Caenorhabditis elegans: one gene and its partners. The protein of the gene in region 4 purifies or fractionates together with the protein of the main gene of each other region. This does not show direct contact. Each region holds a gene or a part of one and is shown on either strand. Other genes may lie near its edges. The genes, in order: rpa-1, rfc-1, F53B2.8 and rfc-2.

Region 1 (5,065 bases), on a different chromosome or scaffold from region 4:
CTTTTAGAAATTGAAAATAAAATGGGAGACGGGTGGTGTCAGAGTGTCCCATTCCAGCTTAATCCGGGAATTTCCAGACATTTTTCCTGGGTAGCAAATTCGAATTAAATTCCCACAATTTTCAAATAAAAAACCGAGATGGGATACTGTGACACCACTAAACTCTAAATTGAGGAAAACAATTCGTGAACCTTTTTTTTTTGAAGATAACTAGAAAAGGTTGCGAATAAACGTATTAGGTGAAAAGAAACGGGATGAGCATATGGAGATGACCTTTATTGGGAATAGACACGGAGAACACCTTCTGTTGGGAACGCATTTGTGTGTGCTCTCCCAGACACTCCATAAGGTCAGCTGCATAACCCTAAATTGCATCGACAAATCTTAACAACTGCAACAGAAAAGCTACACTCAAAATATAAGACGGAAATTTTCTTTCAGCACGGCTTAGTTTGGACGAACAATTTGAAAGGAGTGTTCAAATTGCAACTGTTTGGAAACATAATAAAATCATTACGGAATTTATTTTTTTGGAAAATCAAAACAGGTGATAAAAGACGTTTCTGTAAATGAAAGTCACTAGTCTTTTCCACTAATCCGCCAATGTCTTTCATGGAAAATAAGACAAAAAAAAAGACAGCGTTAGAGAGAAATAGACGAAGAGAGCTCAAAGAGCTCGCTGGCTGCCCACGAACCTGCGGGTTAGCAATGGAAAATGTGGTCGTGGGCAGAGAGACGTAGGATAAATGTGGCAACCCAAGGCCATTTGTTGTCGGGCAGTCACCCGCTCTCAAGGACGCTGCAACGACCCAATGCTGTCACTTCAGAACACATCTCGAGGTCACCTGGCACTCAAAGATAGGCTCACATCGTATAGTTTATTCGCTAGTAAATGAGATGAAAAACATTGTACAAAATCAGCGATTGTGGATGTGAGACATGTGATAACTTTAGGCTCAAAAAAGGTTTTAATAATATTTAGGTTTTTTTAGATTTAAATGAAACAGTCGAGATCGGCACGATGTAATAAAAAACAGAACATTTAGTAGTCACTCATTTGTTGCATCTGCTCGATCATTTGCTTCAGATTTTCGATGTACTTGTCCTGATTGACATCATCCACACCATAGACAGTCATCTTCTGACGAACTTCTTCCTATAAAGAAAACAATCATAACGGATCTTCAAGAAATAAAGCTACATTGTACGAATCCATCTTGCAACGAAGTCTCCACATCTTTGGAACAAACTGAAGGCGTTCGAAAATAGCGTTGTACTCATCTGGGCTTTCATCGTGCAATTCTCCAAGCTCCGCAGCTGATTTTCCAACAATCTTCGCAGCACTATCTCCGAAAGCTGTGACATAGACCTGTCCGGTTTCGTCCGAAAGTTCAAACTGCATCATGTACAGCCACTTGAACTTGTTCATGTTCTTATTGCACTTTTCGCATCTGTAGTCACCATTTTCTCCCACAAGTTTCTTTTGGCAACCCTCTGAAGCGCATCCTCTATAAAGAGCATTCGTAGGATTTACTCTGGTAATCATTGCTTTGACAGTTGCGTAATCTCCCTTGTCGGAATCCTTTCCAAATTGCATTTCTTGGAGTCCTGCAATAGTACGTGGAGCTTCATTGGATCCTCCAGCAGCTTGGCTCATCATCTTAACTTCAGTGGTTGGTTTCACGTTTGCGTACCAATCATAGAGTTCAGACACTCCAGCGATTTCTGGCACCGAAATAATACGAGTTGCTGACCCAGTTCCCAAAGAGAATCCTCCATTAAACTCTCTTGGAATAACACCTTTGAATGCGATTACTTTTTGAACATAGTCATCAACAAGTGCTTTTGTTGCTTCGTCTCCCCAAAGTGTCAATCGAACAAGTGCTCCAGACTCGTCAATCAACTCCATTTCTCGCTTGATCAGAGATTTTCCAGCCTTTGAAGTGAATTCGGTAGCCTCTGGATCCATCTTTTCAACCACGACGAGAACGTCAATCAGTTGTCCAGCATATCCAGCGATTTCACCTAGCTTCACTCGTTTGAGTATGAGCTTTGGAGCAGCAAGCAATTCACCTCCAGCTTCAATCTGAAAATTTAATATTTTAGCTATGATGAATCGCTTTAAATTTACTAACGATAGAATCGCTGCGAAGTGTGATCTCGTAGTCGTGTCCAGTATTGTTGAACTTCTTATTTGCTTGTTTGACTGATCCACCAGACAAATAATAAGACTGAAAATATTAAATTAATTATTATGCATAATCCGATTAAAATAATACTAACAAGATTCTCGGTGATTGTGGTGTACAAGGACTCAGCAACCTCGTTGAATGCGGTACATCTGATTGTATCTCCGTTTGAATCGGTTATTTCAAAGTTGAACACTTTCGTGTTTTTCGCTGGGAAAGTACGAATTTCCTCCTTGCGTGATACCATTCCGTGAATTTTGAAATTCGATACGTACGGTGTAACCATTGCAATAGGCATCACGCCTCTTTCTGTGTTCGACGCGGTACGGCGTGCTGGTGGTGGAACAGCTCGAGCGCGTGTAGCCTCTGGAGCAGCGGCACGATTGTATGAGGCTTCTGAAAACTCGAATTACACACATTACAACTCTTAGATTTTACCTTCTCCGAATTCTCTTTTCGGCGCTTTTGCTGCTGGTGGATTTGCCATATTCTCCTGGTAATCAGCAGCCATTCCTTCAGCTTCAGGCCAAACATCTTCGATGATAATATTTGGTCTATAGCCTTTGTGCTCATCAGGTTTGCCAGAATGAGATCTTGGCTTGACTTCTGGAGAGGTCAAAACCTGATGATAGCGAGAAAGAATTTTGTATCCTTTGATCAGGAAGCAATTCTTAGCACCTTCTCTGAAAAATACATTGAAGGACTCAATAATGTTATAATCTCACCCTTGGTCGTAGATTTCAAATTTAGTAAGAGCGATAATTGTTCCCTCAACAAGATGCTCAACTTCACGTTTGATTTGGTCATCGATATCAGCGGACATGAGCGCATCTTCAAAGCATAAATAAATATCAGAGTATAACAAACTCACTTACTGTATTGGAAAACACCGTCTGAGATACGAATTCTGAAAGTGAATGCGTGACCAAGTTGCTCTCCTTGCTCTACTTTGCCTTTCTGAAAATTATCGAATTATTGCGAAACTTTTGAATTAGTCAAAAGTACCAAAACTTGAACGATTCCATCATGTCCAGGATATCCATTGTTTTCGATAGCCTCCTGAAAATTCATCAAAATTAAATTTCCTGGTTTTCTACATTGATTTCTTTACCTGAACATAGCCTGTTGTAAGTCGAAGTTTCCCGTTAGTATGATACTTATTGAAGACATCGTGATTGATGTGAATTGCCGCCATCTTTCACTATCTGAAACAGATACATAAAAATTGGGGAAAAAAGCTTGAAACATGAAGAAACAAATGAAGGGGAGACGATTCAATTTTGAATTCTCTACAGGCCGGATACGCGCCAAAAAAAATGGCGTAGAATGTGATGTTTGCGGGAAATGTGTGCCGAAAAGCGGGAATTTCTGTTAGTCAAAGAAAATCGAGCACAACTTGAATTAAAATATGAGAAAACAAATAAATATTAAAAAAAGGAATTGAGAAGTTTTAAAGATTACAATAATAATTGTTGAAATTTTGATGAAGGTTTTACATCGGCCAAAATCGCATGAATCGAAATTATGGCAGCGCAATATTGGAAGAGGGTTAAAATACTGAACAAAAACATTCTAAAAGTCAATACTTCGTCCAAACATGAAGATTTTCTGCAGGTTCTCAACAAAGCAATTCACATTTGAAAAAGAAAAAAATGAATGGCTCGGACCACCTGCGTAAATCTTGCCGGGTACGGTATTCGCTTCGAGACCTCCATCAAAACCGTAGTTTGGAAATTGTTTTTTCCCGCCGATCTAACTTTTCTATTGACGCGCTAAATTTTGAAATCAGAAAAGTCGCATAAAGAATTCGGATTTTGTTTTATTTTCATTTGTCAGTTTTGATAAATTTTCATTTTATAAATTATGTAAAGTTTCGGCTATATCAGTTACCCACTTCATTTCTACCTAGCTGTTCTTTTCCTTATATGACCTTCTTGAAAGCTTATAAAAGTTTTCGAAAGCTTTTAGACCACTTTCAAACTGCTTAATATCTAACCCCCATTTCGGAAAAAAAACTTCTACATAATTCCAGATGCGCCATCTCCATCTCGCCTTCTTCCTTCCCGCCATCTTTCTGTTCTTCTCGTGTGTAAATGGTGCCATCGAATCGGTACACGACGACAAAGATGTCGTGCCACACGAAGAACAAGGTAAAAAACTAGATTATTGTGTGCTTAAGATTAAAGTTTCACTTCAGCCCTCGACGTCGACACAATTTTCCGCGCTCTTGGAGTTCCATATTGCATGCGAAAGTGCATCGACCCGTTCATCAATTCTACGACGTCTCTGTGGAACATGAAGAATGTTGTACATCAAGCTCGCAAAGTCTGTGGTCATCATGCACAGGCTATCACTTGTCTGAAGAAAGAACAGTACTGTGATCACAACAAGCTCTTCGCAAAAGCCAGCAGCAGTGTTGAATATATGTGTGCCACAAAGCACGTTCTGTTTGAGCGAATGGAGTCGTGTCTCAACCCTGTCGTTGATGATATCATGTCAGGTAATTTTTTTTCTGAAAAATTGCCCACCATCAAAAAATCGTTTTCAGGCTGCGACAAAGAATGCTATGCTCGTTCAAACCTAACTGCTTTCGCTCAAGATTCTAACATTAAATTCGCTGCTACAGTTGGAGGTAATGTATTTATTGTTGCTGATCATCTTGGAGAACTTTGTAACTCTCTGCAATGTACTCTCCCATGTGTCACCAAGCGACTCAACAGCAAGTGTGCCTTGAGTGGATGGCTTAGTCTGGACATGCTTATGCAACCATTCGATGCCGTTTCTGTAATGGTTGATCAATTGTCACCAGCATTGAGGTTAGTTAGTGCGATCATTATTAAATATGCTATGTAACTAAACATTTCAGGGATGTCATC
Region 2 (6,312 bases), on a different chromosome or scaffold from region 4:
AACATCTTTCCTGCTCAAAATAGTTCCTGCTTCCTCCTCCAGTTCTATTCTTCTTTTCTCCATTTATCCATATTTCTTGCTTAGTTTTTCTAGTCCACTCCCACGTGGTATCAGGTTGTCACATCACGGTTTGATCTACAAAAAAATGCGGGAATCTTTTGCCCAAAAAATGTGACGTCGGCACGTTTTTAACCATGCAAAATTAGTTGAGAACTCTGCGTCTCTTCTCCCGCATTTATGTAGATCTACGACGTTTTCTACGTAGATCAAACCAATATGGGACACTTTGACACCACGTGCACTCCATTACCACATTTTCTATGTTACAATCCCTCCCGATGCTTTCACAATTGCTGGTCCAATTCCCTACGATTTCATTCCTTTTTATGAAAGACCACTATATCGCGAAATTTCGTGGTTCATCCAGTTTTCACAACGATTCTATTGTCTTCAATTTAGTCAGAGTTGATTTCTCTTTCAATGCGAACTAACTTGACAAATATAGAAAACAGTTGTGAATATCTCAATGATCTTGAACGAAATTTTCAACATTTTTGGCAAAACCATAATACGTTGTCCTCCTGGTGCAAAATGACTAAAATTAAATTGTTTCATCGTGCTCAAATAAATCGTTGTAACATGATTTTTTATCCAGTTTTTAATAGTTTTCCTGCAAGAATATCTGCTTTGTCGAAATAGTGATCATTCAAGAGGGTTTATTGCAAGTTTACGGTAATAGTTAGAATAATACTGGACATCTATAATCATTTCTTGCTTCCTCTTCCTCCACGAGCCCGACCACCACCACGTCCACCTCGAGCAGATTTTGAAGCTCCGGCACCTCCACCAGTCCTAACTTTAATAACAACATCAGTAGTTTTCTCCTCGTTATCCTCATTATCGGATTCTCCATCTTCATCTTCAAATTTCTCCACTAGATTTCCTTCTTCGTCCATTTCAATTCCAATTGAATTCACACCTCGTTTCTTTCCTTTTGACACAGAATCCATCGAGTATGGAAGCATTCGACCAGTCTTGTTTAGAGTTCTAGTCAATGATGCTTTCACCTTACTCAAAATTTTACTAGCCGGATCAATTTTTCCAGGCCAAGCAACAATTTCTGTGAGTGCTTCAGTGTCGTCTTTGATGAGATCGTATTCTGTCATTGTGCTGATCACATCTGGAATTCCATCAGCTTCATGTTCAAGAAGTGGTTTCGTTATTTTCTGACGGAGCATTGGAGCATAATCAGTGGCAAATGAGTGAGTACCAGCAGAAACTCTGAAAGTAATAAATAAATTCCTAATTCCCATAATGAATTTAGCGTAACTTACTTGAGATGTGTGTGTTGAACCAGTTGCTGAAGCAATCTCTTCCGTTTTCCAGCTGTCGAGTTTTTTCCCAACCACGATGGGAACTGAATCATTGCCTTCAAATGTCCACCAGTGGCAATCGCTGGAAGTGCAGCAGAAATCATGCTCTGCTCATTGAGCAACTTCCAGGATCCTCCACCACGAATTTGCCGATCAATAAGGTCTCCAAGGGAAATGAAGTCTGCAGCTTTTCGTATTCCACGGATCGCTTGGATTGGACTATGCTTTTCATTTTTCATATTGAGATAATTATCCTGGACGAAAAGTGGCATGATTCCATAGTCAGTGAAGAACATTTCCTGCTTTTCCATTAATGTCGTACGAGAATCCAGGAGACGACGAGCCGCCGAGAATGCATCCTGAAAATGTTGTTAAGATTTCAGAATTTGTATAACCAGGCGCAAGTTTCGTATCGAGACCAAGTACCCCATTTTTGGCGCGAAAATCGCAAAATTTCACGGCTAGGAGACCTACCACAGCCATATCCTTCTGGTTGATCTTTGCTCCAACTCCCTTTGACCTCATTTGCAGGTTGTAAATTGTTTGCCGGACGTCATGACCGGATAACTCGATAATTTCGTCCAATTCTTCTTTGCCAATTTTCATTTTTTCCTGAGAACAGATGGTCATCATCCGAGAACGAATAGTCTCGACACGTGGCTTTGGAAAACGAAGATCATAGCAATAGTTGGCCAGTGTACGAATTTTCGGATGCTGCCGGTCATTACAAATGCAAATAATTGGAATTTTAGACTCCTTGATAATTTGGATGAGCTCAGAGATCTGTAAAAATAAACATTTGAATATTAATATATTAGTTCTTCATTTAAACTCACACCAGCTCGATCCTCATTTCCAGACATTCCGTCGACTTCATCCATAATCAGGATATGATGAACCTTTTGATTATCTTGTGGAGCACACTTTTTCGCTCCGAAAAACTGCTCAATTTGATGAGAACCAGAGAGTTCGCCAATTTTCGCTTCGAGATGTTTCTTACTACGCACATCTGATGCATTCATTTCGACAAGTTGAAGGCCCAGTTGTTGACAAGCCATATAGGCGCATGTAGTCTTTCCAACTCCAGGAGAACCCGATAAAAGAGCTGCTTTGAATGATGTACCATCTTGAGATGACATCCATGGAGCTGGTTTTGCTGAAAATTGCCGATAATATTATAATAAAATAGAAATAAAATTACTTACGCTTCTTAATTTTTGCCCCTTCGCCAAGATTGTGTTTTGCCCAGTCTTTAATCCATTCCAAAAGCTTATTAATTGGGCTTTTGTCTCCATTCTGGCCAACAAGTTCTCCCATCCTTTTCGGCTTATACTTATCAACCCATGAAAGTGCTGGGGGTGGCCCACTTGGTTTCGGTTGAAAAACGACTGATGACGTGGAAACTTGACTCGACGAAGATGACTCGGAGGTTACTTTCGGTGGATCTTTTTTCACTGATAACGCCTTTTTCTGTGGAGTTTCTTTTTCTTTTTTGACAGGAATTGATTGCTTCTTTGGGAATTCTTTTTTGACAGAAGGAAGCTCTTTCTTTTTCGGGGTCTCCTTTCTCTTTTCAGGTGTCTTCTTTTTCACAGTAATAGGAGTGAACGTGTCAAAACTATCATCAGAATCTACGAACTCATCGTCCGACACTTTCTTTGTTTTAGTGTTTTCTTTGGTCGACGGGCTGATCTCCACTGGCTTCTTAGCTGGCGTTTTTGGTTTTTCAACAGTTTTCGGAGCAACTTTTGGAAGTTTTGATGCAGATGGCGCTGGTGAGTTTTTGAAGAAGTCTGCGGGATTCACTAATGTTTTTTCGACTTTTTTCTTAGGATCATCACGTTTCGAAGATGACGAAGAAGGTTTGAACATATAATCCAGCGTTTTTTGACCAACTGGTAACTCCTTTTTTCCACCCTTTCTTTTCTTTTTTTCATCAGTTCCGCGCACGAGCTCGTCTTCGTCAGAGGTTATCTAAAAGCTAATTATTGCGATATTTCATGGATATTAGAGTGCTTTCTCACATCGCTCTCTTCTTTTTCTTGCTTTCTCGATCTTTTTGGTGCAGTCTTTTTTTGAGGTGCATTTTCTTCTTCTTCGTCGTCATCGGTTAGTACTACTGGCTTTGTCTGAAACATTTCTCAATGAGGGTTCAGTTCACATGAATTTCCGAACCCTTTTTTTCGCCGGTGTCGCTGCCTTCTTTTGCTTTTCCTGGGTGAATGGCATATCATCATCGGAATCTTAAAAAAAGAAATTTCGTAATACACATTTGCACAGAATGCAATTTGTTTTTTACCCGAAGAAACCACAATCTTTCTTTTTGTACTCATTTCCTTTTTTGAGGCGATCTTCCGTAAATGTCGAGGGATTGGATTCTCTCCGTCGGCTTAAAAAATATAATTTTTGTTGGGGATTAAAAACTATAGAAAGGCTTACAAAAATCGCCAAAATCTGGGTGTATTTTCGTAATTTTCGGTTTCGAAAAAACGATCGAAAAGCAGGAACAATCTTGAGGAGCCAAAATGAAAAAGAATGAAAAAAAAAGTTTTAAAATTTAAAAAACTGAGCGGGAAAAGCAAATTCCAACAGAGCGTATTTGCATTTTTGAAATCGTGCCGAGGCCTTATTCGGCTTATTCGTAATGTCCCTTTAATTTCTACAGTATGAAAATTGCAATTTATTTTTCATAAATTTTTAAGATTCCTTGCTATTTTCCGTTCAAGAAATTCGTTACATATCTTCCCGATTTTTTGTTGATAAAAAATTAAATTCTCGTCTTATTTCAACTCAAAGATCCTATATAAAACTGATAATTCTCCTCGCACGAATCACGTTATAAATCTGAATATAAAATTCTGAATATCAAAGGGTCCTCATCTTTCCCCCAAAAAGTGCCCAATGCTTCCCCGCCCATCATTTTTTTCTTCATCGTCTGCGTTTGCAATCTCTCTTTCCGCTTGCCTCACTTTCTCCTGTCCCCCACTCTCCTCGTTACACTGTGTGCGGACGCAAATGTATTTGCGTGTACAGCTGACCGAACTTATTCCTGCAAAACCGTCGAAAACTGAAGCTTTTTCTCAAAATATTCGAATCATTATAGTCTGTTTATTTATGTTTGGAACATAAAATTGTAATAATTTATGCCGAAAGCTTCATTTTCTGTTTTTTTTTCTGTAAAACTGAATTGTTATCAATGCACAAAAACTCAGCAGCACCTTGAATAGCTTTTGTTTTTTAGTTTTGTTTTGATCGTCGTTATCTCTATTGTTATTGTAAATATAAATTATGTTTTTGCATGTTCACTCACAGCCAGCTCTTTCCAGATTGCACATCCCGCATGGAGTCGGATCAAGAAATTCAACTGGAAGAAGTACGAACAGAAAAAGGTGATAATCATTATCCATTTCTGTTCTTCATTGTCCACGTCTCTGTGCTCATTTCTTTGTGCTCTTTTCAACGCCTTTATCGACCTCATTTGGTTTGAATGGGATGGTATGGCCGGCCTACGTTTCTTTTCTTTTTTGTTTCGGATTTGAATGGTGTTTGGTTGTCTTAAATATTCTCCTTGAAACATTTTAAATTCCAGAAAAATGCTTTGTTTTTTGCTCCGGTTGATCTCAGTAGAATTGTCCAGTCATAAAAAAAGCTTCAAGTTTGTCTAAAATCTCCACTGAAATTCACTATTTTTCTTGAATTCAACTCCACTCCTCCTCTTCTTAATGTCTATTTCTGGGGCATCTTCTGAAAAAAGCCTTCCTAATCACAAAATTTCAGGTCGCAAAAACGCCTCGGCCCAAAATCCGGTCAAAATGGCCAGATTGGCCCTCGACTTCCTCTTCTTTCGGAGGTTCTGGCGTCTTCTTAAAATCCTGTTTCCATGTCATCGTCGATCGATAACCGCGTGGCTCGCCGGAGCACTGCTCATCGCAACTGCTCTCGATCAAGTAATGACGTATTTAGTTGGAATCCAGCCAAGTCTGTTCTACGTGGCACTGGGAAACAAGGATGCTGACACGTTTAAAATTCTGTGTGCACGGGGAGCCGCGATTATTCTTGGAAAAGCTTTTGTAAGATCGAAATTCGATATTTTCTCATCCTAATTAGCGTTTAATTTCAGACATTAGCAGTATTCAAATATCTTACAAATATGTTAGCGATCAAAAGTCGTCAAGTATGTAATCTCACGATGCATAGGTTATATTTCAAGAGACAAGCTTTCTTCAAGCTATCTTCTTCTGGGGATATGCTTGATAATCCGTAAGTTTTTTATATAAATTAATTTTATAAAATCAAATAATATTTTACAATTTTTCTTTTAATTGAAAAGCTGACTATGAGTTTTTAGATTTTTCGCTTAATTTGGAAAAAACCAAGTTAAGCTAGAATTTGAAATTTGTTCAACTTGTCATTGTCGCAACAGCTAAAATACAGCTTAGAATAAAAATATCATATTTTATTGCTGTTTATTTCGCGTTAATTTGTTGATATAGGCACATTATAACAATTAATAAAATTTGATGCCTTAAAATGCGCGTACCAACATGTCAACACAAGATTTAACGATCAAAAATTTATCGTGATAATTTAATTTTGAAAGGAAAAACTTTTCTCTCAATTTAAATTATTTAAATTCGATATTTTTCCAGAGATCAACGTCTAACCCAAGATATTGAAAAAGCCACTCGAATCCTTTCCAATGATCTTCTAGCTCCAATTGCTACAGCTCCATTCATAATTGGATATTACACATGGCTAACTTATGAAAGTTCCGGTTGGATTGGTCCCGCAGCGATCTACACCTATTTCTGTATCCAAACAATTATCAACAAGATGATTTTGTCTCCGATTGTTCAAAAAGTATCAGAACAGGAGAAAATGGAAGGAGATTTCCGACAAAGACATATGGAAGTTCGTTCGAATGTCGAAGCAATCGCCT
Region 3 (3,929 bases), about 11 Mb from region 4:
GCATCATGACACTGCGACTCCGGCTGAGGAATATTCGGAAACTCCTGTGACGCCATGATTCGGCGATGAACGGCAAGGCATTGTCCCATGATGGTGGGGAGGAAGTAAGAATGAATGGGGGAAATTGTCGAGATGGTCTGGGGCTGCTAATTGTTTTTTGTCTTTTTATATTTTTTGACCAATTTTTCTCAGAATTCATACATATTTTCGATAACAAGGAATACTGTAAATTAGGAAAAGGGGAAGCAATAAAAATTCGTAAAATTATAACAAAAGTGGAGTGAGACACAGAAATTTGGAAAGGGAAGTGGATTTAAATTGCTGTGGGAACAGTCTGAATTCTCCTTAAAATTTAATTTACCGGATTATGAAGAAATTTCCCAAATTCCAGTAGGCAAGCACGTTTCCTCCTACTGTATTCTTGCCTGCCTACAAGCTTGCCTACTGCCTAGGCATCTGAATTTTTGCAAACAATTAAAGGATCGGAAATAATTTTGCAAGTCTATAGGCACGTTTTGTAGGCAGGAATCAGGTGTAGGTCTCCTTACAAGGCAGATGTGAATTTTTACGAAGCAGATCGGGTCTCACTACAAAACGTGTCGGTTACTGTAGCTAGCAAGTTTTCTGAATCTTAAATTTGATCTGATAGTGAGCAGATAAAAAACGTTAGTGGGAAATGTGGTCTCACTTTGAAGATCAAGTTTCAAATTGAAATTTCGAATAAGATTGAAAAAATCTACCATAACCATTAGTTTTCATGGCGAGACCTCTCATGAATCATGATTACATTTCGAAGATTTTGGTATGCTGATTTGAAATTTGTAAATTTTGAATCAAACATTTTTTATTAACAAATAAAAACTTCAAAGTGAAAAATTCAAAACGTCCACAAATTAAATTTGACATCCAGATTCATATTCTTCTTATTAATTTTCCACTTAACAATTTTTTTTTCTTCCAAATGATCCAAAGCCCACACTAACGGCGTGAAGCAGCAGCTCTCATATCACGCAATGCTTTCGGAGCCTTATGAAGATTGGCGACTAGAGCCAAATATGGAAGACGGGGTGGTCTTGGGGCTGGTACCCGGATCTTTCTGGCTCTGGGGACTTTTGGCCCTTGTGCTTCAGAGCCTTGATGTGGTTTTTCCTTGATGCTTCTCAAAGCTTCCAACTTTTTTTGAATCTTCAGTGCTTTTCTCTCCAGTTTCTTATCTTTTTTGGCTCGTTTCTGCTCCTCTCGACTTCGTTTTAAGGTCAGTTGAAGTTCGAGTTTCTCCAATTTTTCCAGCTTTCTTTCCGGAGTGTTTTCCTTGGAGCGTACCCTTTTCTGGTGTTTCCCAACATTTCCCAGCTTGGATCTCAGTCGTTTCTTTCCACCCATGTTATTCTTCGGGGCTCTTTTCTTCCCAACTTTCACGTCATCTTTTTCTGAAATTTGCGAATCTCATTCGAGTATGTAATATAATCTGCCAAACGTAAACTAGACTTATCACATAGATTTATTACGATAATTTGCTCGTCAAATCTGTTGTTTATAAAGTTTTCGCGTCAAATTTGCGTATTTGCTATACCGTTCAGTGAACTAAAATTTTCCGAACACTACAATCGACGCTCAACACTAAAAGTCAAATGTAATTCCTTACTAACCTTGCGTACTCATAGCATCTCCCAAATCCTCCTCCGGCTCCACCTGTGGCTCCTCCACCTTATTTCTCTTAAGCTTTCCCACTGTAAATTTGAGCATTTTCAAATTTTTCTCGACTTTAAAAACTTACACAACTTCTTGCCCATTGGCATTTTCAGTTCAAAGCAATTGATTTTAGCAGTACAAGTAACCACTGAAATTGCAGGCACTGAGGAGGGTTTTTGTATCAATTTCTTATCAAAGAGTTTTTATCATCAATAATGTTTATAAGTGTGGAATTCTGAAATAGTGATGTTGACTATGAGTAAGGTAGTATTAAAATTGAAAATGTCATGTGAAATGGGAATGTTGACAGGAAAGATTATTGGAAAGTATGGGGAAATCGTGAGACCCAGAGGGAAAAGATGGGTGACGGGATTGCGAAATCAAAGTGTTGAAATTTTTAACTACAAAATTCACTAGAAATATGCTTAACAAATATTACACCCAAAGCATTTCAGCATTTCGAAAATTTTAACTTAGGCAATGTTTTAAATTTTTTAATATTCGAAATTTTCATTAACATTTGATTTTTTCAGACTACTGCCAGGTACAGCAACCCTCGGTTTTTACTGTGTGACCAATTTTTATCGATGACATAAAGTTATGGTATATTTATATTCAAATTTAAGTTTTTAAGTTTTCTGATTTTTAATCTTATGAATTACTATACAATTCAAGATTTAAAACATCTAACAGCTCATCGTCGTCGTTCAACATCTCCCCAACTCAAATTCAAATCTAGAAAAAGTGCTTTTGTTCCTTACAAAAACCGCCAAAAGGAATGAGTAACAGATTGTCATATCACTATCCCATCACATTGCCGCCGGAAATTGGCAAATAGAAAAGGACGACGGGTATTTGAATTCAAACTGGAAAACATTTTTGTAGTTGGAAGAGTCGAATAGTTTTGGCAAAGTTAATGCAAATCTACCTAAAAACCTAAAAGAGATGTTATAATAATTGTGTATTTGTAAAAATCATGGAAGCCGACACTTTACTGATCATATTTAACTTTAAAAAAATCCTTTTTCTCACATTTTGTTGCCTGAAAACTTGAAATATTTTAGGAGTGAAGAAATTTGGAAAAAATCAATTACCGGTAATTACCCCCTATGTTCCAAAAACATTTAAAATCCTCTTTCCCCCATTCCTAATCCATCTATTCATCATCATCTCATCAATTGTTTATGCACCTGTTCAGGAAGTGCACATAACATCTAATTGTCCAAAAAGAGTACACAAACCGGTAGAAAAATCGCAGTTGAAGAGCCAGTAATCTGTCAGTAATCTGATTGGAATTCGAGTGAACAAATAAAAACAGGTGTATTGGAAATGTTCAAGTAATTTTAAATATCACAGAAACGTAATTAGACAACATTTTCTGCTGATTGATGGGTTGATATTTTAAACCTACACAATCAAAATTCGTATTTTTATTTTCAAACGAGTAAATTCAAATGCTCATGCTGTGAAAGTCGTCTGAGAGCTTGCTGTAGCAAATCACAGAACATCCTTTGGCAATATCTTCATCTTTCCGTTCAGGTGGCGCCAAGTCATTCATCAAAGATTTCAGTTCGGCTTTTTGAATCGAAAACTGAAACACACGGATTGTTAAGTCTAAGGATATTCAACTAACGTTTGCTCCAGCTCTCTCAATACATCCCAAAATATCCAAACGTTGGAACAATGTGTACTGCCATGGATGCTCACGGAGCAGTTCAGTTGCAGTTGTCGCCGCCTTTTCATTCAAACGAACATCATCAAAATCGAGAAGAGCTGGAAAATGCTGTACTATTCCTAAGGAGACGAGAAGATACGTTTGATGCTCATCTGCAGTTGCCAATAGATTTCCAATAATCCACAGACATTCCTGAAATAACCATAGATAATTTCTAAGCTCGAAAATAAATTTTGTTTCAAAAGATGTGTTCAAAGCTAACTACAGTATTGTCTCTATTGTACTTGCACCCTCATTAATTCACTTTGACGGCTCATATCTTGACTGTCTCAAGTGTTATCAAACAATTTCACTATCAAAACGTAGAAAAACATTTTGCACGTATTTCTTCAGTTGACAATTTTTTGATAAAACGGAAGTGAATCGAGATATATGCCCTGTCAATGTAAAACAATGGTGGTGCATGTCTAATAAATAAAATACTGTTCATATAATTTTATATCAGCTTACCTTTCTCAAGCGTTTGTCTCCAGTATGAATCCCAGCCATCACCCATTCATAG
Region 4 (8,070 bases):
CCCCAGAAGAAAAAAAAATTTAAGCGGAGCTTAATTTCCAGTAATTTTTACAAAAATAAAAAATTTTTGAAAAAATTTAGTCTGAAAATCAATGCCTTTCAAATTTGATTTTCGAGCGATTTCAAAATTTTCAGAAGAAAAATTGAAAATTTGGGCATAGCTTCCGCATCTCCGGTGACAAATGTGCTCTATTGCACCGAATTGTTGGTTGGAATACGGTATTTATTGCATATTTCAGCCGAGAATACCACTATTCAAACCATCAATTCGGATAGAGAAACACACAAGTCACATACTATATAGGGAAATTCAGTTCAGTTGCCGAGGTGGCGAGCCAAAATTTATAGCATTCCTCGGCAAAAACTGGAATTCCGGAAAAAACCGGAAAAGGCTAAAAAATCTTCGAATTTTTAGCAGGGATTTGAGCAAAATTTGAAAAATCCAAGAAAATTAATTTTTTGCATCAAAAAATTGAAAAATTCAAAAAGTGTGCAATTGCCGAGTTGCCGTACCCAAATTTTTAGCATTTCTCGGCAACTGGGATGAAATTGCTAAAGTTCCGAGGAAAATCCATCTATAAATATGTTTAAAGTGCAATAAAAATAATTAATAAAACGCGCAATTTCGCTGCGAGACCCAAAACTACATATTCTGTACAAGAATCGGGTTCATTTGAAATTTTGAAAAAAAAAATTGAGAAGATATGAGGATCGACGTGAAAAATAATTGAAAATCTCGGCAACAATTTTAGGCACTCGTAGCCGTTGCCGCTGCTGAAACTCGGCACAGATCGGCAATCAGACGGGAGAGTTGAAGTTTCGAAGTGAGTCCCTGCACGATACGCATATGGCACATGGCGATTTGCTGAAAAATTGTTTCGTTGTTTTTTTTTAATGGTTTTGGGCTAAAAAATTAAAATTTGGGCATAGCTTCCGCATCTCCAGTGACAAATGTGCTCTATTGCACAAATTGTTGGTTGGAATACGGTATTTATTGCATATTTCAGCCGAGAATACCACTATTCAAACCATCAATTCGGATAGAGAAACACACAAGTCACAGACAATATACCGGGAAATTCAATTCAGTTGCCAATTTGCCGGAAATTTCAATTTCGGCAATTTACCGATTATCCGGAAATTTTTATTTCCGGTAACTTGCCGATCGGCCGGATATTTTCAATACCGGCAACTTGCCGATTTGCCGGAAATTTTGATTTTTGGCAATTTTCCGTTTTGCTGGAAATTTCAATTCCGGCAATTTGCCGATTTGCCGGAAATTTTTGAATTCCGCTATTTTCCCATTTTGCCTCAAAATTCAATTCCGGCAATGTGGCGGAAATTTTATTTTTTATTTTTGGCAGTTTGCCAATTGGACGAAAATTTTCAATTCCACCATTTTGCCGTTTTGCCGGAAATTTCAATTCCGACAAATTGCCGATTTGCCGGAAACTTTCGATTCCGGCAAATTGCCGAGTTGCCGCAAATTTTCATTTCCGGCAATTTTACGGTTGGCCGGAAATTTCAATTGGAAATTCAGTTCAGTTGCCGAGTTGCCGGACTCAATTTCCGGTAACCAAAAACTAAAATTCGGCAATTTCCGGCAACTAGTCTTCGAAATTCACGATTTTCGCCAATTTTAGGCTACCAATCCCTAAAATCCGGTGGTTTTCGGCAATTTTCAGCCACAAAGGCCGAAATTTAGATATTCCGATGATCTAACAACGAAATTTCGCGTTTTTCGGCAAAACAAAGCTCCAAAAAACGCGGATTTTTGACAATTTTCAGAACACCCCGGGCGGCTTTTAGCCGCTCATTTTGGCTCATTTTCCACCCATTTTCTCACCCGAATATACTCCATTCTCAGCTGTTCGGACACATTTTTCGACAGCTCGACAGTCTTTACCACACGGAACAACGTTGATACAATATCGTCTGAGGAGAAGCCAAGCCGATGAAACTCGTGAATAATCTTGGATGCCTCGAAGAATTTGCGATCCGTACAGTAATGGAGCATTTTGATCATAAGGTCCGGGTGTGGCTCATCACAGACTTTCAGCACATTTTCCTTGTTCACAAGCTCGTAAGCGTTCACTGTTGCCTGGAAAATCGGAACATTTTACTTTTTTAGCCGGAAAATTGCATATTTTACATAGTTTTTAATTGAAAATAAGACATTCTAAATTTTCTACAAGTTTTCAGCCCAAAAATGGAAAATTTGTTTTGAAACGCAATTTTTGTTTAAATTTTCAGCAGATTTTTACTAAAAAAAAATTGGGCATAGCTTCCGCATCTCCAGTGACAAATGTGCTCTATTGCACAAATTGTTGGTTGGAATACGGTATTTATTGCATATTTCAGCCGAGAATACCACTATTCAAACCATCAATTCGGATAGAGAAACACACAAGTCACAGACAATATATAGGGAAATTTAGTTCAGTTACCGAGGTGCCGAGCCAAAATTTATAGCATTCCTCGGCAAAAACTAGAAAAGGCTAAAAAATCTTCGAATTTTTAGCAGGGATTTGAGCAAAATTTGAAAAATCCAAGAAAATTAATTTTTTGCATCAAAAATTGAAAAATTCAAAAAGTGTGCAATTGCCGAGTTGCCGTACCCAAATTTTTAGCATTTCTCGGCAACTGGGATGAAATTGCTAAAGTTCCGAGGAAAATCCATCTATAAATATGTTTAAAGTGCAATAAAAATAATTAATAAAACGCGCAATTTCGCTGCGAGACCCAAAACTACATATTCTGTACAAGAATCGGGTTCATTTGAAAAAAAAATTTGAAAAAAAAACATTGAGAAGATATGAGGATCGACGTGAAAAATAATTGAAAATCTCGGCAAAGCTCGTAAGCGTTCACTGTTGCCTGGAAAATCGGAACATTTTACTTTTTTTTAGCCGGAAAATTGCATATTTTACATAGTTTTTACTTGAAAATAAGACTTTTTCTAAATTTTCTACAAGTTTTCAGCCCAAAAATGGAAAATTTGTTTTGAAACGCAATTTTTGTTTAAATTTTCAGATTTTTACTAAAAAAAATTGAAAAATTGGGCATAGCTTCCGCATCTCCAGTGACAAATGTGCTCTATTGCACCGAATTGTTGGTTGGAATACGGTATTTATTGCATATTTCAGCCGAGAATACCACTATTCAAACCATCAATTCGGATAGAGAAACACACAAGTCACATTTTCATGAAATTTCCACTTAATTATACTGGAAATCGGCATTTTTGCAATTTTTGTGGGGAAAAAATTGTTAAAATACCCCTTTTTTAGATGTCCTTTATCGAAAAAAAAAATTAACTGAAAAATGTAAAAAATTTCAATATTTTGATGAAATTTCATGATTTTCACTGAAAAAATGAGAAAATTTTAATGAAAATTTCAATTTTAGGAAAAATTCTAAGTTTTTTTGTTGCAAAATGTAAAAAACTGGTGAAATCAACAAAAAAAAATGTTTAAATAAAAAAATGGTACGAAATCCAATTTTCATGAAACTTTTTGAGATTTTCAAGGAAAAAAGAACATTCAGCGAAATTTTATATTTTTAGACCAATTTTTCAAAATTTTGAAAATAAAATTATGGAGTTCGGAAGGATGGCCAAGTTTTCCTGGAAATCTTTTTTGGAAATCTTTTTTGGAAATTTTTTTAAAGTTTTTTTTTTTTTTGGAATTATCTGGAATTTTTTGGGATTGTTGTGAAATTTTTAGGATTTTTTTTTGAAATTTTTAAAAAGTTTCCTAAAATTTTTTGAATTTTTTTTTTTGGATTTTATTTTGGAATTTTTGAGATTAATAACATTTTTAGATTTTCACTGAAGAAAATTTGGAAAAGGTCAATTTTTAGTGAAAAAAAATCCTTTAAAAATATGATTTTTTTCACCTTTTTTACGGAAAACGCCAAATTCCAACTAAATTAGCTAAAATTTCCGGTTTTTCACTACTTTTAAGCACATACATTGTAAAAATTCTGGTCTAGAAAATTGTGAATTTTCGCAATTTTTTCCAGCGTTTTCAGCTCAAAATTCAGCCTTTTCCCGGATTTTCTACCTGTAAATTGTTCAACGCCTGTCGCATATCACCCTGTGCAGTGAACAGAATCGCTTCAAGACCCCCGTCGTCATAGTTGACCTTCTCGGCTTTTGCAACCTCCTTGACACGTGTCAACAGCTGTACGGGGCTCAATTTTGTGTAGCGGAGCAGGGCACAACGGGATTGAATGGGCTCTGAAAGGGGCAAAAATCGATCGATTTTTTGGGGAGTTTCCAGGCCGAGATCTGTATTAGTGTGGACGGCAAGTGCCGTTCGGAAATTTTTTGTCAGCAAATTCGGCAAATCGGAAAATCGCCGGTTTGCCAATTTGCCAGAAATTTCAATTCCGGCAATTTGCCAATTTGCCAGAAATTTCAATTCCGGCAATTTGCCAATTTGCCAGAAATTTTAATTCCGGCAATATGTCGATTTGCCAGAAATTTCAATTCCGGCAATTTGCCAATTTGCCAGAAATTACAATTCCGGCAATTTGTCAATTTGCCAGAAATTTCGATTCCGGCAATTTGCCAATTTGCCAGAAATTTCAATTCCGGCAATTTGCCGATTTGCTAGGAATTTGAATTCCGGCAATTTGTCGATTTGCTAGAAATTTTCAAAACCAGCAATATGCCAATTTGCCGGAAATTTCAATTCCGGCAATTCGCCAGAAATTTCAATTCCGGCAATATGCCGATTTGCCGGTAAAATCGTTTGCCGTCCCTAATATGTACCAATAATCTTCTCGGATTGATTGCAGGCCAACGCAAATCTTGTCGTCTTTGTGTACATCTCCATTGTGCGGCGGAGAGCCTGAAAATTTGGTTTTTTTTTTTTGGAAATTCAATGCAAAATTCGTATTGAGCTCGTTGAGAGCTTTCATTTAAGTATAATCATGACTGGGTTCCGAAAATTTCGAAAAAATTGGAAATTTTTTAATCATCGTGGCGGGGGACTAATTTTTCGAGTTTAGGAGGTTTTTTCGGATGAAAATTGCATTTTTTGGGGGGATTTTCATTGGAAAAAATCGAATTCCTCGCAGAAAAACTGGTAGATTGACATCCAAACTGGCTCAATTTCAAAAAAAAAAACACGAAAATTTTGATTAATTATCGTGTAAATTTTCCTGAAAAAATAAGTGAAATTGTGTGTGCAAAGTTACCATTTTTCTCGGTTTTTTTTGTGGAAAAAACGGGCAATTTTCTGATATTTGACATTTTCTCTTTAAAAAAATCGCAAATTGTCTCGGAAAACGCTAGAAATTCCGGATTTTTGACCATTTAATTTATGGCATTTTTCATTTAAAAAAAATTCGAAATTTGTACCAATTTCATTGCAAAAAGCTCAAAAATTGCGGAACTTTGATATTTTCGTCAGAAAATTCCGATTTTATCTAGATTTTGTCAAAAAAAAACTGAAAAATCTACTAAAAACACTCACTTTTCGGCTTTTTTTACTTAAAAAAATCCCGCCTACGTTTAAGTCTAAGCCTGAGCCTAAGCCTAGGCCTAGGCCTAAACCTAATCCAAAGTCAAGGCCTGAGCCTAAGCTAAAGCCTGAGCCTAAGCCTAAAAGCCTAAGCCTAAAACTTTCAGATTTATTTCCAAAATTATCGCAGCCTAGTCATGTTCATACTTAAATCAAAGCTCTCGTTGAGCTGAATTCAAATTTCCAAGTTTTTCGGCAAAATTCCGCACCTGCTGTGCACCATCGGTCATCGAATCGGCCTCGTCCAGTATGATAATCTTGTGACGGCCTTCTGGAAGTGTCACCTTCGTCTGGGCGAACGTTTTGATACGATGACGGACCACATCGATTCCTCTGGAAATATTGGCAGTTTTTTGAGATTTTTTTTTTGAGAAAAATTCAATTTTTTCAAAGTTTTTAGCGAAAAAGTCAATTTTTTTGCAATTTTTCCCAGTTATTCAGGGTTTTTTCTCACAAACCTCTCGTCCGACGCATTCAACTCGAGCACCGCTTCCTTAACCTTATCGCCGAGCAATTCTCGAGCCAACGCCCACACTGATGTCGTTTTTCCGCAGCCTGGGGGACCCTGAACGGAAAAATTCGATTTTTCACTTCACATTTTGACTTTTAAAATGAATTTTTCAACAATCTTCTCACCGACAAAACAATATTCGGCACATTTCCCTCGTGTCCGATCACTTTGAGCCGCTCGACAATGTTCTCGTTGCCGACAATATCGGCGAGCACTTTTGGACGATATTTCTCCACCCATGGCGCTAATTGTTGCTTTTCCGACTTTGACATAGCTGGAAATATTGAAAATTTGATAAGAATTCGATACAAAACTCGAAAAACGTGACGAAAATTCATGGAATGACAAAGAAAATCAGTTTGGCGCGCTTAAAATTCAAAAAACAAATATTATCCGAGAGGAGTACACCGAGCGGGGACAAGGTTTCCTCCTCGGCCGCGGCCACTTTTGCCAAAAAAAACAACAGATATTCATGAAATTGAGCCAGAATCGCTATTTTTGAACGAAATTTCGAATTTTTTTCACAGAAATAGTAAAATTGATAAAATGGGAAGTCGGAAATTACAAAAAATTGTAAATACGAGCTGTTTTTTCAGCGATTTCTAGCAAGAATTAAATGGAATCAGAAGAATTCTGGGCAGAAGAGCATTTTTGCAGATAGAAATATGTTAAATATAATACTATCAGTGTATCTGACCGGTTTAAATAAAGAAAATATGTACGACTGTGGCGGCTTCGGGCTGATTCTCACTTCTCGTGGCAAGTGGATGCACTTCATGGACTTTTAACAGCTACAACTTTTTTCGCGTTGGAGATAGAGCATATGGGCTCGAGCTCGAGCATTTGGGCTCGAGATTGAGCATTTAGGCTCAAGCTCGAGCATCTGGGCTCGAGCTCTTACTTACTTTACTTTGATACTTTGATGTCCGTTGGGTTCAAGTTGCGAAGAGGATAAACTCATTCCATTTTTTTTCACGGTCAGTACGTGCGATGGACAGCCATGGAACCTTCGGAGTGAGCATTCCAAGTCTTCTTCTTCCGACGACGACTTGTCCTGAGTCAGGACTCCTGACATCGAAAAAAGTTTTTTTGAAATAAATAAATAAATAAATAAATAATTAATAATTAATAATTAATAATTAATCATTACCTATATATAAAAAAATAGTGTCCGTTTGTTAACAAGTGACGTCATAGCTTACAAAGGCAAGGTGTTTTCGGCTGTTGGAGGGATATTAGTTTGTGGTTAGTAGAGGAATATGGGCGGGGTACTGTATTAGTACTGTAGGAGTACTGTATTAGTACTGTAGGATCACTGTAGTTTATGAAAAATTGTGTTTTTGTCTTTTGAAGAGATATAGGTTTGGGGTTAGAGGTGGGATATGGTCGGGGTACTGTAGTAGTACTGTAGAGGTACTGTAGGAGTACTGTAGGATTACTGTAGTTTATGAAAAATTGTGTTTTTGTCTTTTGAAGAGATATAGGTTTGCGGTTAGTAGTGGAATATGGTCGGGGTACTGTAATAGTACTGTAGGAGTACTGTAGGAGTACGGTAGGATTACGGTAGTTTATGAAAAATTGACTTTCCGTCTTTGGAAGGGAAATTGGAAACTTCTGGAAAATTCTGAAATGTTCCAGAACCTTCTGGGAATTTCTGGAAAATTCTAGAATGTTCCAGAACCTTCTGGAAAATTCTGAAAAGCTTTAGAACCTTCTGGAAAATTCTAGAAAATTCTGGAATGTTCCAGAACCTTCTGGAAAATTCGAAAAAATTCTGGATTGTTCTAGAACCTTCTGGAAAATTAAAAAAATGTTGCTGCGAGATCTTCGTGGCGAGAGCCATCGTGGCGAGACCCATCGTGGCGAGACCCACCGTGGTGAGACCCATCGTGGAAAGACCCATCGTGGTGAGACCCATCGTGGCGAGACCCACCGTGGTGAGACCCATCGTGGAAAGACCCATCGTGGTGAGACCCATCGTGGCGAGACCCATCGTGGCGAGACCCATCGTGGTGAGACCCATCGTGGT

The links.
Region 1: the proteins of rfc-2 (region 4) and rpa-1 fractionate together in Caenorhabditis elegans (co-fractionation; one large-scale study listed by BioGRID). This does not show direct contact.
Region 2: the proteins of rfc-2 (region 4) and rfc-1 fractionate together in Caenorhabditis elegans (co-fractionation; one large-scale study listed by BioGRID). This does not show direct contact.
Region 3: the proteins of rfc-2 (region 4) and F53B2.8 fractionate together in Caenorhabditis elegans (co-fractionation; one large-scale study listed by BioGRID). This does not show direct contact.

The regions. Positions count from the first base shown.
Region 1 is NC_003280.10:7,662,911-7,667,975, reverse strand, and holds rpa-1 (putative replication factor A 73 kDa subunit), read right to left. Parts: upstream 3,395-5,065; 5' UTR 3,385-3,394; coding exon 3,301-3,384; intron 3,249-3,300; coding exon 3,195-3,248; intron 3,147-3,194; coding exon 3,065-3,146; intron 3,021-3,064; coding exon 2,915-3,020; intron 2,873-2,914; coding exon 2,628-2,872; intron 2,586-2,627; coding exon 2,284-2,585; intron 2,232-2,283; coding exon 2,136-2,231; intron 2,087-2,135; coding exon 1,202-2,086; intron 1,157-1,201; coding exon 1,043-1,156; 3' UTR 866-1,042; downstream 1-865. Other genes in the region: F18A1.7 (Chondroitin proteoglycan 4 domain-containing protein), read left to right, coding at 4,222-4,339, 4,387-4,689, 4,738-5,005, 5,056-5,065. UniProt on the Caenorhabditis elegans protein: As part of the heterotrimeric replication protein A complex (RPA/RP-A), binds and stabilizes single-stranded DNA intermediates, that form during DNA replication or upon DNA stress.
Region 2 is NC_003283.11:14,642,040-14,648,351, forward strand, and holds rfc-1 (Replication factor C subunit 1), read right to left. Parts: upstream 3,941-6,312; 5' UTR 3,813-3,940; intron 3,763-3,812; 5' UTR 3,707-3,762; coding exon 3,673-3,706; intron 3,617-3,672; coding exon 3,549-3,616; intron 3,503-3,548; coding exon 3,398-3,502; intron 3,355-3,397; exon of another isoform or gene 3,348-3,354; coding exon 2,579-3,347; intron 2,530-2,578; coding exon 2,210-2,529; intron 2,157-2,209; coding exon 1,848-2,156; intron 1,733-1,847; coding exon 1,335-1,732; intron 1,282-1,334; coding exon 765-1,281; 3' UTR 628-764; downstream 1-627. Other genes in the region: pmp-3 (ATP-binding cassette sub-family D member 4), read left to right, coding at 4,714-4,762, 5,151-5,443, 5,494-5,633, 6,023-6,312.
Region 3 is NC_003282.8:12,525,421-12,529,349, forward strand, and holds F53B2.8 (Coiled-coil domain-containing protein 86), read right to left. Parts: upstream 1,977-3,929; 5' UTR 1,800-1,976; coding exon 1,778-1,799; intron 1,731-1,777; coding exon 1,650-1,730; intron 1,431-1,649; coding exon 979-1,430; 3' UTR 811-978; downstream 1-810. Other genes in the region: Protein eak-4, read right to left, coding at 1-89; F53B2.5 (Importin subunit alpha), read right to left, coding at 3,143-3,283, 3,326-3,559, 3,878-3,929.
Region 4 is NC_003282.8:1,345,561-1,353,630, reverse strand, and holds rfc-2 (Replication factor C subunit 2), read right to left. Parts: upstream 6,318-8,070; 5' UTR 6,314-6,317; coding exon 6,167-6,313; intron 6,096-6,166; coding exon 5,989-6,095; intron 5,864-5,988; coding exon 5,740-5,863; intron 4,856-5,739; coding exon 4,777-4,855; intron 4,240-4,776; coding exon 4,064-4,239; intron 2,101-4,063; coding exon 1,846-2,100; intron 865-1,845; coding exon 748-864; 3' UTR 654-747; downstream 1-653.